Linked DNA regions of Anolis sagrei. The protein of the gene in region 2 interacts with the protein of the main gene of each other region in a pairwise test. Links are inferred from orthologs where the notes say so. Each region holds a gene or a part of one and is shown on either strand. Other genes may lie near its edges.

Evidence for each region.
Region 1: the proteins of SH3GL1 (region 2) and MAL2 interact in binary tests that used the Homo sapiens proteins (3 or more experiments, as listed by UniProt). The two-hybrid records come from large-scale screens. The link is inferred for Anolis sagrei from reciprocal best matches to the Homo sapiens genes SH3GL1 and MAL2.

What each region holds. Positions count from the first base shown.
Region 1 is NC_090024.1:22,144,650-22,151,035, forward strand, and holds the start of MAL2 (protein MAL2), read right to left. Parts: upstream 4,318-6,386; 5' UTR 4,200-4,317; coding exon 4,059-4,199; intron 1-4,058. UniProt on the Homo sapiens protein: Member of the machinery of polarized transport. Required for the indirect transcytotic route at the step of the egress of the transcytosing cargo from perinuclear endosomes in order for it to travel to the apical surface via a raft-dependent pathway.
Region 2 is NC_090034.1:56,224,141-56,230,526, forward strand, and holds the start of SH3GL1 (endophilin-A2), read right to left. Parts: upstream 3,824-6,386; 5' UTR 1,815-3,823; coding exon 1,770-1,814; intron 1-1,769. UniProt on the Homo sapiens protein: Implicated in endocytosis. May recruit other proteins to membranes with high curvature.

The DNA.
Region 1 (6,386 bases), on a different chromosome or scaffold from region 2:
GGAGATGCAGTTCAGTGAGGAATTATCACTCTTTGGCAGAGAAGGCTAAAGATCCTGTAAAGCCATGATTCCATAGCATTGGGCCATGGTAGTTAAAGTGCTATCAAACTGTGTTAATGCTAGAGCAATGGTTCCCAAACTTTTTTTTTACCAGGACCACTTGACCAGGGACCACACTCCAACATTAGTACCAAAAGGGTTACGAATCAGTTTTTGGTCAACTTTAAATTCGGTTTGGTAATTTGGGGTGCTGATTCAGAAAATTGCATTTGATAGATTACATCAGCTCTAGTTTCCAATACAGAACATATGCCATCCAGTAGTCACCATCTGCTCACCCACAGAAAACCATATTTAATAAGGTTTTTGTAGGTTTTTTTCGGGCTGTATGGCCACGGTCTAGAGGCATTCTCTCCTGACGTTTCACCTACATCTATGGCAAGCATCCTCAGAGGTAGTGAGGTCTGCTGGAACTAGGAAAAGGGGTTTATATATCTGTGGAATGACCAGGGTGAGACAAAGGACTCTTGTCTGTTGGAGCTAGGTGTGAATGTTTCAACTGACCACCTTGATTAGCATACAATGGGCTGACTGTACCTGGAGCAAACTTTTGTTGACATATTTAATAAGTTTTGGTACTATAAGAGGGTTTCGCAAGACCACTCGCTCTCACTGCAACTGTGTAGTAATGGTGAGGTGGCGGACCATATTTTAGTTCTTGTGGACCACTGGTGGTCCACGGCACTCAGGTTGGGAACCACTGTTCTAGAGCGTGGATGCACGCATACAAATATAGCACCTACCTTGTTTTGTTTTGAAAGCAGGCATCCAAGTATCCTATCCCTTGTGAACAAAGATGACAATTTGTGCACTATTTTCCCTGGGTGAACTCAACGAGGCTTGGTATGGAAAAGAACACAGGATACATCTACACTGTTGAAACAAAGCAGCTTGACACCACTATGACTGCCATTAATTTATTTCCGACATTTCTATCTTGTTCCTCCTCAACCCCTGAAGGGAGACTCAGGACGGCTTACATTTGGCAGTAATTCAATGCCACTACATATAACAGAGACATATAATAACTATTAAAACAATTAATAAAACATTCATTAAATCAGTAATGGCTCAATACTACAGAATGCTGAGACTCATAGTTTGGTGAGGCACCAGTCCTCTTTGGTAAAGAACCCGAAAGGTCATATAAAATGACAAGTCCAGTGATATCATCACATTGAAGAGGATAGTTTAAGTGGCATCAAAATTGCATTGTAGATGCCCTCTTAGGGCCCTTCTAGATCCTGGCCTTAATATGCCAGGTTCTGATCCCAGGTTTTCTGCTTTAAACTGGATTATATGAGTCCCCACTGCCAGATAATCTGGGATAAACAGAAAACCTGGAATCAGATTCTGGGATATGAAGCCTGTCTGGAAGGGCCCTTAGGCAGAAAAGGCTAAAAGCCAGATAAAGTTACAACTCCCATAGCATTAGGTCTAACCCAACTGTTCACCCCTTATAAGCTCCTCCCTCAGAAATACACTTTCCCACTATTATCTCATCCAGGGTTTTATCCTTTTTTTTATCCTGTGCATTTGGTTCGCCCACTGTGTTCTATCTCCTCATTATGCTATTTTGTAAATGTTTATTTTATTTTGTTACTTCATGTATCTTATTTTAATGTAATTTTTGTCTCTTTGTATTGTATTTTTGGGTTTGGCCTCATGTTAGCCACCCCAAGTCCCCTTTGGGGAGATGGTGGTGGGGTATAAATAAAGAAGAAGAAGAAGATGATGATTATTATTATTCTGACACAAAACCACAGTTTGTCACAGCAAACGAGATATATGTGCTGGATTTCATAACACAGCTCCAGCTAGAGGTCAGCTGTGACCAGCAGTGCTGCAGAATTTGAAGAGGCACGAATGGAGGGTGAAAGAGAGAAACGTGCCAAAAGGAAGGCGTGTCAAGCTAACCCCGACCAAGACCGCCTTCCACCTGGAAACCAATGCCCTCACAGTGGAAGAAGATGCAGATCAAGAATAGGGCTCCACAGTCACCTACAGACCCACTGCCAGGACACTGAACTTGGAGGACCATCATCCTTGGACTACGAGGGATCGCCTAAGTAAAGTTCATATCACAAAATCACAAGTCGAACACTTCCCAAGCATCTAGGACTGTGTGATGTATTTTTGAATGATGTGTGCAGATCCAAGTAAGGTGGCTTTTTGCAGTTGACAGACTGTGATCTAGTCAATGTTTATTGTTTCCAAATGCCGGCTAAGATCTTTTGGCACAGCACCCAGTGTGCCCATGACCACTGGTACCACCTGTACTGATTTATGCCAGAGCCTTTGCAGTTCGATTTTGAGGTCCTGATAACAGCTGAGTTTTTCCTGCTGTTTTTCCTCAATGTGACTGTCACGTGGTATGAACAATCACAGAAGCGGCAGAAATATACAATGCCAGAAAACCGTACAATAATAATAAAAAAAGGTAAAGGTTGTCCCCAGACATTAAGTGCAGTCATGTCTGACTCTGGGGTCTGGTGCTCATCTCCATTTCTAAGCCGAAGAGCCAGCGTTGTCCATAGACACCTCCAAGGTCATGTGGCCAGCATGACTGCATGGAGCGCTGTTACCTTCCCGCCGGAGTGGTACCTATTGATCGACTCACATTTGCATGTTTTCGAACTGCTAGGTTGGCAGAAGCTAGGGCTGACAGCAGAAGCTCACGCCACTCCCTGGAATTGATCCTGCGACCTTTTGGTCAAGAAGCTCAGCAGCTCAGTGCTTTAACCCACTGCGTCACCGGGGGCCCAAATACAATAATAATAATAATGATAATTATTATTATTATAGCATTGAGCCAGGGCTGTCCAACTTGTGTCAAACTGCATTAATTTGACACCCATAGAAATAGAAGAACCCGTGGGTTGGTTGGTTGGTTGGTTTGACATCCAACCTGCCAACAACAGATGCAAATAAGACCAGAGAGTCGATCAAGAGCTCAAAAAATCTACACCAAGCATGGACAAACTGGGCCCTCCAGGTGTTTTGGGCTCCAACTCCCACCATTCCTAACAGCCTACTGGCTGTTAGGAATGGTGGGAGTTGAAGTCCAAAACACCTGGAGGGCCCAAGTTTGCCCATTCCTGATCTACACTGTTGAAATAATACTGTCTGACTCCATGTCTTGAAGGCCATGGCTGAAGACCACGTCAAGCTACAATTCTCTTGACTCCACGCTTTTGAGCCAGGGCAATTCGAGCGGTTCCAACAAGTGGACGCATGGCTTAATGTACAGAGTGGATACATCCAAAGCGTGCTCTCTCTCTCTATCTCCCACTTGTTGAGCGTTTATCCCGATGGAGACCCCTCCTCCCCTCCCCTCCCCATCTACACCAAGTTTGCCCATTCCTGATCTACACTGTTGAAATAATCCTGTCTGAATCCATGTCTTGAAGGCCATGGCTGAAGACCATGTCAAGCTACAATTCTCTGGACTCCACGCCACTGAGCCAGGGCAATTCGAGCGGTGCCAACAAGTGGGCACATGGCTTAATGTACAGAGTGGGTGCATCCAAAGCGTGCTCTCTCTCTTTATCTCCCACTTGTTGAGTGTTTATCCCGATGGAGACCCCTCCTCCCCTCCCCTCCCCATCTACACCAAGCATGGGCAAACGTGGGCCCTCCAGGTGTTTTGGACTCCAACTCCCACCATTCCTAACAGCCTACCGGCTGTTAGGAATGGTGGGAGTTGAAGTCCAAAACACCTGGAGGGCCCAAGTTTGCCCATTCCTGATCTACACTGTTGAAATAATACTGTCTGAATCCATGTCTTGAAGGCCATGGCTGAAGACCACGTCAAGCTACAATTCTCTTCAGCCTTTGAGCCAGGGCAATTCGAGCGGTGCCAACAAGTGGGTGCATGACTTAATGTACAGAGTGGGTGCAGCCAAAGCGTGCTCTCTCTCTCTCTCCCACTTGTTGAGCGTTTATCCCGAGGGAGACCCCCCTCCCCTCCCCTCCTCTCCCCTCCTTGGTGGACTTACGATCTCCAGGCAGATGAAGGCCCCCGAGTAGGTGCGCAGGATCTCCAGCCCCGAAGGGAGGGTGATGCGAGGTGGCGGGTAGTGGGCGGTAGCGGTGGGAGGCGGCGGCATGGAGCCCCCTCCGCCGCGGGCAGGGAGCATGGCGGCAGGGAAGGAAGGAGGGAGGGAGGGGAGCAAGGCCCGGACGTGGCCTCCGACGAGGGAGGCAAGCAGGGAAGGTGAGAAGGGAGAGAAAGAGGGAGGAGAAGCGCAGGTGGAGGAGGGCGCCTTTTGTCGGGCGCCGCCCTCTCCTCCGCCACCGCCTCCTTTTCTCCTCCTCCTCCTCCCGACGCTACTTTTGCTCCCACCTTCTAATTTTTTCTCACCTGCTCTCCCTCCCTCCTTGGCCTTCTCCACACCTGGATCTCAGGAAGGCTCCCCACAAGGGTTATTGATTTCTGTGCTTACTCTATTTGTATACCGCCCTTCTCAGCCCTCAGGCAACTCAGGGCGACTGACAGAGCAACGGTTCCATGCCCAAGAACATCATAAAACATTTAACACATTGGGTTGTTGTAGGTTTCTCCGGGCTATATGGCCATGTTCTGGAGGCAATTTTTCTCCTGACGTTTCGCCTGCATCTATGGCAAGCATCCTCAGAGGTAGTGAGGTCTGTTGGAAGTAGGAAAAATGGGTTTATATATCTGTGGAATGACCTGGGTGAGACAAAGGACTCTTGTCTGCTGGGGCTAGGTGTGAATGTTTCAGCTGATCACCTTGATTAGCATTCAATGGCTTGGAAGTGCCTGGGGGGACTCTTTTGTTGAGAGTGATTTTATGTGCCTGTTTGTTTCCTCTCTGTTGTTTTGCTGTTGTAATTTTAGAGTTTTTTCTAATACTGGTAGCCAGATTTTGTTCATTTTCATGGTTTCTTCCTTTCTGTTGAAATTGTCCACATGCTTGTGGATTTCAATGGCTTCTCTGTGTAGCCTGACACAATAATCTATATAAATAATAAAAGTAATGTTCGTTTGTGGGATTAACATAACTCAAAAACCACTAGACGAATTGACACGAAATTTGGGCACTATACCCCTAACAGACCAATGAGTGACCATCATTCATACCCCCCCCCCCAAAAAAAGTGGAAAGGACTTAAAAACCCCAAAAAGCTAAGTGACGAAAAGCTAAATGATGATACAGGGTCATTTAGGGAAGGAAGAGGGAGGAAAGGAGAGAAAGAAAGAAAGGAGAGAAAGAGGGAGGTAAAGAAAGATGGAAAGAGAGGAAGCATGGAAGTAAAGAGTGAAGGAAGGAAGGAAAGAGGTAGAGAAGGAAGAAAGGAGAAAAAGAGGGATAAAAGAAAAAGGGGGAAGGAAAGAAAGAGGTAGAGAAGGAAGAGAAAGTAAGAAAAAAGGAAAGGAAGGAAAGAAGTAGAGAAGGAAGAAAGGAGAGAAAGAGGGAGGGAAGGATAGAAGGAAAGACAGAAGTCTGGATAGAAGCAAAAAGCGAAGGAAGGAAGGAAAGAGGTAGAGAAGGAAGAAAGGAGAAAAAGAGGGATAAAAGAAAAAGGGGGAAGGAAAGAAAGAGGTAGAGAAGGAAGAAAGGAGAGAGAGGGAGGGAAGGAAAGAAGGAAAGGCAGAAGTATGTATAGAAGCAAAAAGCGAAGGAAGGAAGGAAAAAGGTAGAGAAGGAAGAAAGCAGAAAAAGAGGGATGAAAAGAAAAAAGGGGGAAGGAAAGAGGTAGAGAAGGAAGGAAGGAAGGAAGGAGAGAAGGAAAGAAAAAAGGGAGGAAGGACAGAAAGAGGGAGCGAAGGAAGGAGGGAAAGAAGAAGAGAAATAGGGAGGGAAGGTTGGCCACAGCAGCGCGTGGTGGGTAAAGCTAGTACATAGTATAAAACCAAACAAAAGTAATAAAAACATAAAACATTTGCACCTCCTAGTTTAAAACATTATCCATCTCGTTGTCCAGTGGTTCAAAGTTCCTATATCTTTTACACTGCATTTTCCGGAATGTTAAGAGGGAGGGCCCCCCGATCTAATGTCTGTAAGATGGGCGTTCCATAGCCGAGGGGCCACCATTGGGAAGGCCCTGTCTCTCATCCCCGCCAAACATATTTGTGACTCAGGTGGGATCGAGAGCAGGGCCTCCTCCAGACGATCTTAAAGTCCTAGCAGATTCATAAGAGAAGATGCATTCAGACAGGTAAGTTGAACCAGAACCGCTGAGGGCTTTATAGGCTAAAGCCAGCACTTTGAATTATGCCCGGTAGCAGACTTGCAGCCAGTGGAGCTGGCGCAACAGAGGAGTTGTATGCGCAATCTGGCTGCCGTCCATTGGACCAATTG
Region 2 (6,386 bases):
CCGTCGGAGCGGTACCTATTGATCTACTCACATTTGCATGTTTTCGAACTGCTAGGTTGGCAGAAGCTAGGGCTGACAGCGGAAGCTCACGCCGCTCCCCGGAATCGAACCTGCGACCTTTCGATCAACAAGCTCAGCAGCTCAGTGCTTTAACCCACTGCGCCACTGGGGGCTCAAGTCTACATAGGGACCACCAAACGCAGCATCATTGCCCAGACACGAATCAAGGAACATGAAAGGCACTGCAAACTAATCCAACCAGAAAAGCCAGCCATAGCAGAGCACCTGATGAACCAACCTGGACACAGCATACTATTTGAGACCACAGAAATGCTGGACCACTCCGACAACCACCATGTCAGATGACAGAGAGAAGCCAGTGAAATCCACAATCATGTGGACAATTTCAACAGAAAGGAAGAAAACATGAAAATGAACAGTATTAAAAAACTCTAAAATCAGGACAGTAAATAAAGGGCAACACTAAAAAAACCAGGGGAATTCCAGACATGGAACAATCAGAGCCACCTAACATCTCCCAACAAAGGATTCCCCCAGGAAGGAAGCAGCCAGGCGTTGAAGGCCATTCAATGCTAATCAAGGTGGCCAACTGCAACATTCACGCTCGCCTCAAGAAGAAAAGAGTTCTTTCTCCCACCCTGGACATTATTCCACAGGGATATAAACTCAATTTTCCTAGTTTCCAAAAGACCTCACAACCTCTGAGGATGCCTGCCATAGATGTGGGTAAAACATCAGGAAGGAATGCTTCTGGAACATGGCCAGACAACCTGGAAAACTCACAGCAACCTAAAGGTCAATTGAATCCATGAGTTCCTTTTTTAGTCTTCTTAGCAGGAGAAAACAAGCTGGGTCTTGCTTCTACCTGGCAACCCTTCAGCTATTGAGACCAGCATCTTGTTTTCCTAAGTAGCCAGGGAACAGCCAGTCAAACATCCCTTAAGGAGTCAACAAACTCCTGAAAGATGTCCCTAATTCTGAGATACAGTTGGCCTTTCATATTCACGGATTCTGCATCCATGGCTTGGGGGCAAAAAATCCTAAAGGCAAATCTTGATTATTACCGTTTTAAACCAGGGACATCATTTAACAACATTGCTGTGCATAATAGAGCTTGAGTGTTCAATGGATGTGGATGTTGTTCTGGAACCAAACACCAGCAGATATAAAGGCCCGCCATAATGTGAGAATAATATGGAAAGGACATACGCGCAATTTTGTGCTCGCTGCTGAAGGAGCATAGTGTAATCAAGACAGAGATAAAGGTAACCATGGATGTCCGCTTTCTTGATCCCCTTCCCATATTTCCAGAACCAACCTCATTGAGATAGAGATACACAATGGAAGGTAGCTTAGTGGGCGGCTAAACAAAGGCCGTCATATTAGGAATGTTTTGGGGGAAAACAACCCATGTTTGGCAAAGTGGAAAGAAGTGGGAAATGGGGGAAATCACACTATTGGATCAACTCCATCAAATAATAAGTTTGCAAGGCCGATGGCTATGGATCCTCTCATTCATAGAGTCACCCTAAGGTAGAGTTGATGGCAGGTGACAACAAGCGACAACACTTCATACTGACAGTTGTGGCAAAACCCTTTAGGAGCAAACCTTGCCAAGAAAACACCGTGAGAGGCTACTAAGATGTGGGGGAAAGGCTCATGACAACAAGTTGCCATATAAATCTATATCTATATCTCTATCTATCTATATACACACACACATATATAGACATATTCTCTTTTCTCACCTGGCTGGCTTTGTAGAACTGCTTCTTCAGTCCTGCCACAGACATGATGGCTTCCGACGGATCCCCAAATCAGTCCACAGGGATTGTGAGATCAAGAAGAAAGCAGGTGAACCACAGATTTGGATCCAGAAGAGTAGAAACAAAGGGACAAGGCTACTCTGAGAGTTTGGGGGAAGGAAGGAAAAGGATCAGGGCAGAGTCCAGCTCTTGGATCGGAGAGATAGAGGGTTAAAGCCAAACTCAGGACAGCTGCCTCCTCTTCCTGCCTCAAAAATGTAGAAGGAAAAGAGTAAGAAAGGCAAGTGTTTTGAGTTATGAGACAGAAAGAGAGGCCAAAAATAGTGGGAAGTTTTCTCCCACCACACAAAGAAATGGCAAAAAAAAGTCAGACACTATTCTCCCTGTGTTTAGGTGAAAAGGGAGCTAGTTTCACTCCAAAAAGACAAGGCACGGCTGGAAAAAGAAAGGCAAATCGGTACTTACTTCATATAGGAATGTAGAGAGAGAAGGCCTGAGGAACAGCCCAGCTACGGGAGTGGATCAACGTATCTATAATAATATCAATAAGAATACATAGCCCAAAGCCAACAGCCAGGAAAGCAGGATTGATATACAATAACAATAATAATAATAACTCTTAAGAAGCAGCCCCAAACCAACAGATAGGGGAGCAGAACAGATATGTATAACAATAATAAACCTGAGGACACCAAAACCAAGTGCCAAGGGAGGAGACCAATTTATCTATGTTATTAATAATAATTATTATAATAACCCTCAGAAAGAGCCAAAAGGGAGCAGAATGTATCTATCGATAGTACTATGAACAATAATAAGCTTAAGGAGCACTCAATTGCCAAGGGAGAAGAAATTACCAATAACCGTATCAACAATACTCTTTAGGGGTAGCCCAAAGTCAACAGCTAGGGGAGCAGAATTGATTTATAATACCACCACTACTACTAATAATACTAGTAATACTGATAATAAGCCCAAGAAACAGCCCAAATCCAACATCTAAGGAAGCAGAATGTATTTATAATACTAATATTACTACTAATAATAATAATAATCCCAAGAAACAGTCCAAAGCCAACTGATAGAGAAGCAGAATTGGTTTAGAATACTAATAATAATAACAACCCTAAGAGAAAGCCCAAAGCCAACAGCTAGGGAAACAGTATTTATTTAGAATACTAATAATAATAAGCCCAATAAATAGTCCAAAGCCAACAGCTAGAAAAGCAGAATTTATTTAGAATACTAATACTAATAAGCCCAAGAAATAGTCCAAAGCCAACTGATAAGAGAAGCAGGACTGATTTAGAATACTAATACTATGCCTAAAAAACAGCCCAAAGCAAACAGCTTGGGAAGCAGACCAATATCAATAGCAATATGAATAATAATAAGCCTAAGAAGGAGGGCCAAAGCCAACCAATGTTATTATTATCGCTAATAATAAGGCTAAGGAGCAGCCAGTGACTCAGAACGATTTGTATTCTTAGTAAGAAAAATAATTCCCCTCAGGAAGAACCCATGGCAACGAGGCAGAGTAATTAGGATGTGCAATCAGTCCTAAAGGCCCCAAACTGGGGGGATAAATTAAAATATTAATATTAACAATGAGAATAAGAATGAGGTTTAAAGCCCAAAGACCCCAAACACGGGGGCAGGCCAATTTAAATACCAATATTAATAATAATAATAGGACTGAGGCTCAAGGGTCTAGTCCTCAGTGAGGCAGAGCAAAGAGAGAAGGCCCCAATAGTCCCTGAGAGGAAAGAAGGCTGAGGGAAGTGGTGTTGATATCACAGAAAGGAATGGAGGAGAAGACAGACAGGCTGAGGAGACACAGAAGGGAGCCTGACAGACAAGAGGCGCGGAAGGACACACAAAGTAGTCCCAAAAAAGGGAGATGGGACACGAAGGAGGGAAGAGAGGCAGGCAGGCAGGCAAGCAGAAGCAGCCGAGCGGAGGAGCGCCAAGCTCTGCCCCGCTCGCTCTCCACGTCCCTCTCTCTCAGGTCACTTCCGCTCGCTGGATTGCGCATGCGCGCAAAGGGATAATGCTTTCCGCCGAAGAAGGCCCGGCCTACACGCTTCCAAACCACAGAGCCGGAGGATAGAGCGCCTTCTGCTCACCCTTCGGCTTCCTGCTTCCGGAGACCGGTGCCGGAGCGCCCCCTGTCGTCGGGAGGGAAGCATCGCACGCTGATCTAAAATGTTTGGGAGACAGAAGGGGTTTTCCCCCTCCTATTTGGGAAACTTTCGTACAGTGGCACTATAATAATATAAATATTCTCGATCCAGAAGCAACCGCAAGCAAGTTGATCCCACAACCTGGGGATCACAACCAGATACAGTGAAAACATCTGCCCTTGCACTGTGCTACTCTGCTGCTGAGTATGCATGCCCAGTGTGGAACACATCTCCCCACACTAAAACAGTGGATGTGGCTCTTAGTGAGACATGCCGCATTATCACGGGGTGTCTGCGCCCTACACCACTGGAGAAATTACACTGCTTAGCCAGTATTGCACCACCTGACATCCGCCGGGAAGTAGCAGCCAATAGTGAAAGGACCAAGGCAGAGACATCTCCAGCTCATCCCCTGTTTGGGTATCAGCCAGCACGTCAACGACTTAAATCTAGACATAGTTTTCTAAGATCTACAGAGACACTCGCTGGAACACCCCAGCAAGCGAGAGTCCAAAAGTGGCAGGCTCAAACCCAGCACCTCAACCAATGGCTGATACCAAATGAGAGACTCCCCCCTGGGCACACAGAAGACTGGGCAACTTGGAAGGCACTGAACAGACTGCGCTCTGGCACTACAAGATGCAGAGCCAACCTTCAGAAATGGGGCTACAAAGTGGAATCCTCGACATGCGAGTGTGGAGAAGAGCAAACCACTGACCACCTGCTGCAATGCAACCTGAGCCCTGCTACATGCACAATGGAGGACCTTCTTGCAGCAACACCGGAAGCACTCCAAGTGGCCAGATACTGGTCAAAGGACATTTAACCAACTACCAAACCCACAAGTTTTGTATTTTTCTATTTGTTTGCTTTGTTCTGTTAGAAATGTAATATAATGGACTGGTTGCTCTGACACGACAAATAATATAAATAATATAAATAAATATTATATTATTATAAATAATTATGGCGCCCCCAGTGGCGCAGTGGGTTAAACTGCTGAGCTGCTGAACTTGCTGACCGAAAGGTTTCAGGTTCGAAATTGAGGAGCGGCATGAGCTCCCGCTGTTAGCCCCAGCTTCTGCCAACCGAACAGTTCAAAAATATGCAAATGTTAATAGATCAATAGGTACCGCTCCGGCGGGAAAGTAATGGCGCTCCATGCAGTCATGCCGGCCACATGACCATGGGGGTGTCTATGGACAACGCAGGCTCTTCGGCTTAGAAATGGAGATGAGCACCAACCCCCAGAGTCGGACACAACTGGACTTAATGTCAGAGGAAAACCTTTACTTTTATTTACCTATAAATAATTATATATATATTAAAATAATTTTTATTAAAGTTTTAAAAGTAACATCGAAAGAGGGTGAATATTAAAAAAGAGAATAGCAAAGTAGGAAAAAAATAGAAAAGCACCCCCCTACCCCCAAGTCCACCAAAAGATCAAAAAGGAAAAAACAGTAAAAAATAAAATACAAAAAACACAAAAAGAAATATATATATATATAAGATAAAAATTGACTTCCATCTCTCCATCAGGTGTGTCCTCAGTAATATTTCCATTGTATCCACTTCATAATGTTCCTCTTATTTGCTCCTTTCCTTTTCGTAGTTTTCATATAGAGTCCAATCTGTCCTCTTTATCGGATTCCCGGTGTTCTTTTTCAAGAAAAAAGTTAATTCGTCCATTTCTCTTATTTCTCTTATTTTCCCTAACCACTCTTCAATGGTAGGGATGTCTTCCTCTTTCCAAAGCTTCGCCAAAGATATTCTCTCCACTGTTGTAGCATAAGTAAATAGTCTATCTTCGTTCTCATCTAATTGTAATTCCAAATCCGTAAATCCCAATAGATAGTATTCTGGTTTCTTCTTGAAAACTCTCTTCAGAATTTTTTGTAACTCCTCATGTACTTTCGACCAGTATTTCTCTATTTCTTTACATGACCACCACATATGGTAAAAGGTACTTGTTTGGTGACAACCCTTCTAAATAATTATAAATTAATTATTATAAATAATTATGAATATAATAATATAAATAATATATTATTACACATAAATAATGCTGGTCGCTTCTGTGGCGTATCAGCCAGCACGTCAACGACTTAAATCTATAAATAGTTTTCTAAGATCTACAGAGACACTCGCTGGAACACCTCAGCAAGCGAGAATCCAAAAGTGGCAGGCTCAAACCCAGAACCTCAACCAATGGCTGATACCAAATGAGAGACTCCCCCCTGGGCACACAGAAAACTGGGCGACTTGGAAGGCGCTGAACAGACTGCATTCTGGCACCACAAGATGCAGAGCCAACCTCAAGAAATGGGGCTACAAAGTGGAATCCTTGATATGCAAATGTGGAGAGGAGCAAACCACTGACCACCTGCTGCAATGCAACCTGAGCCCTGCCACA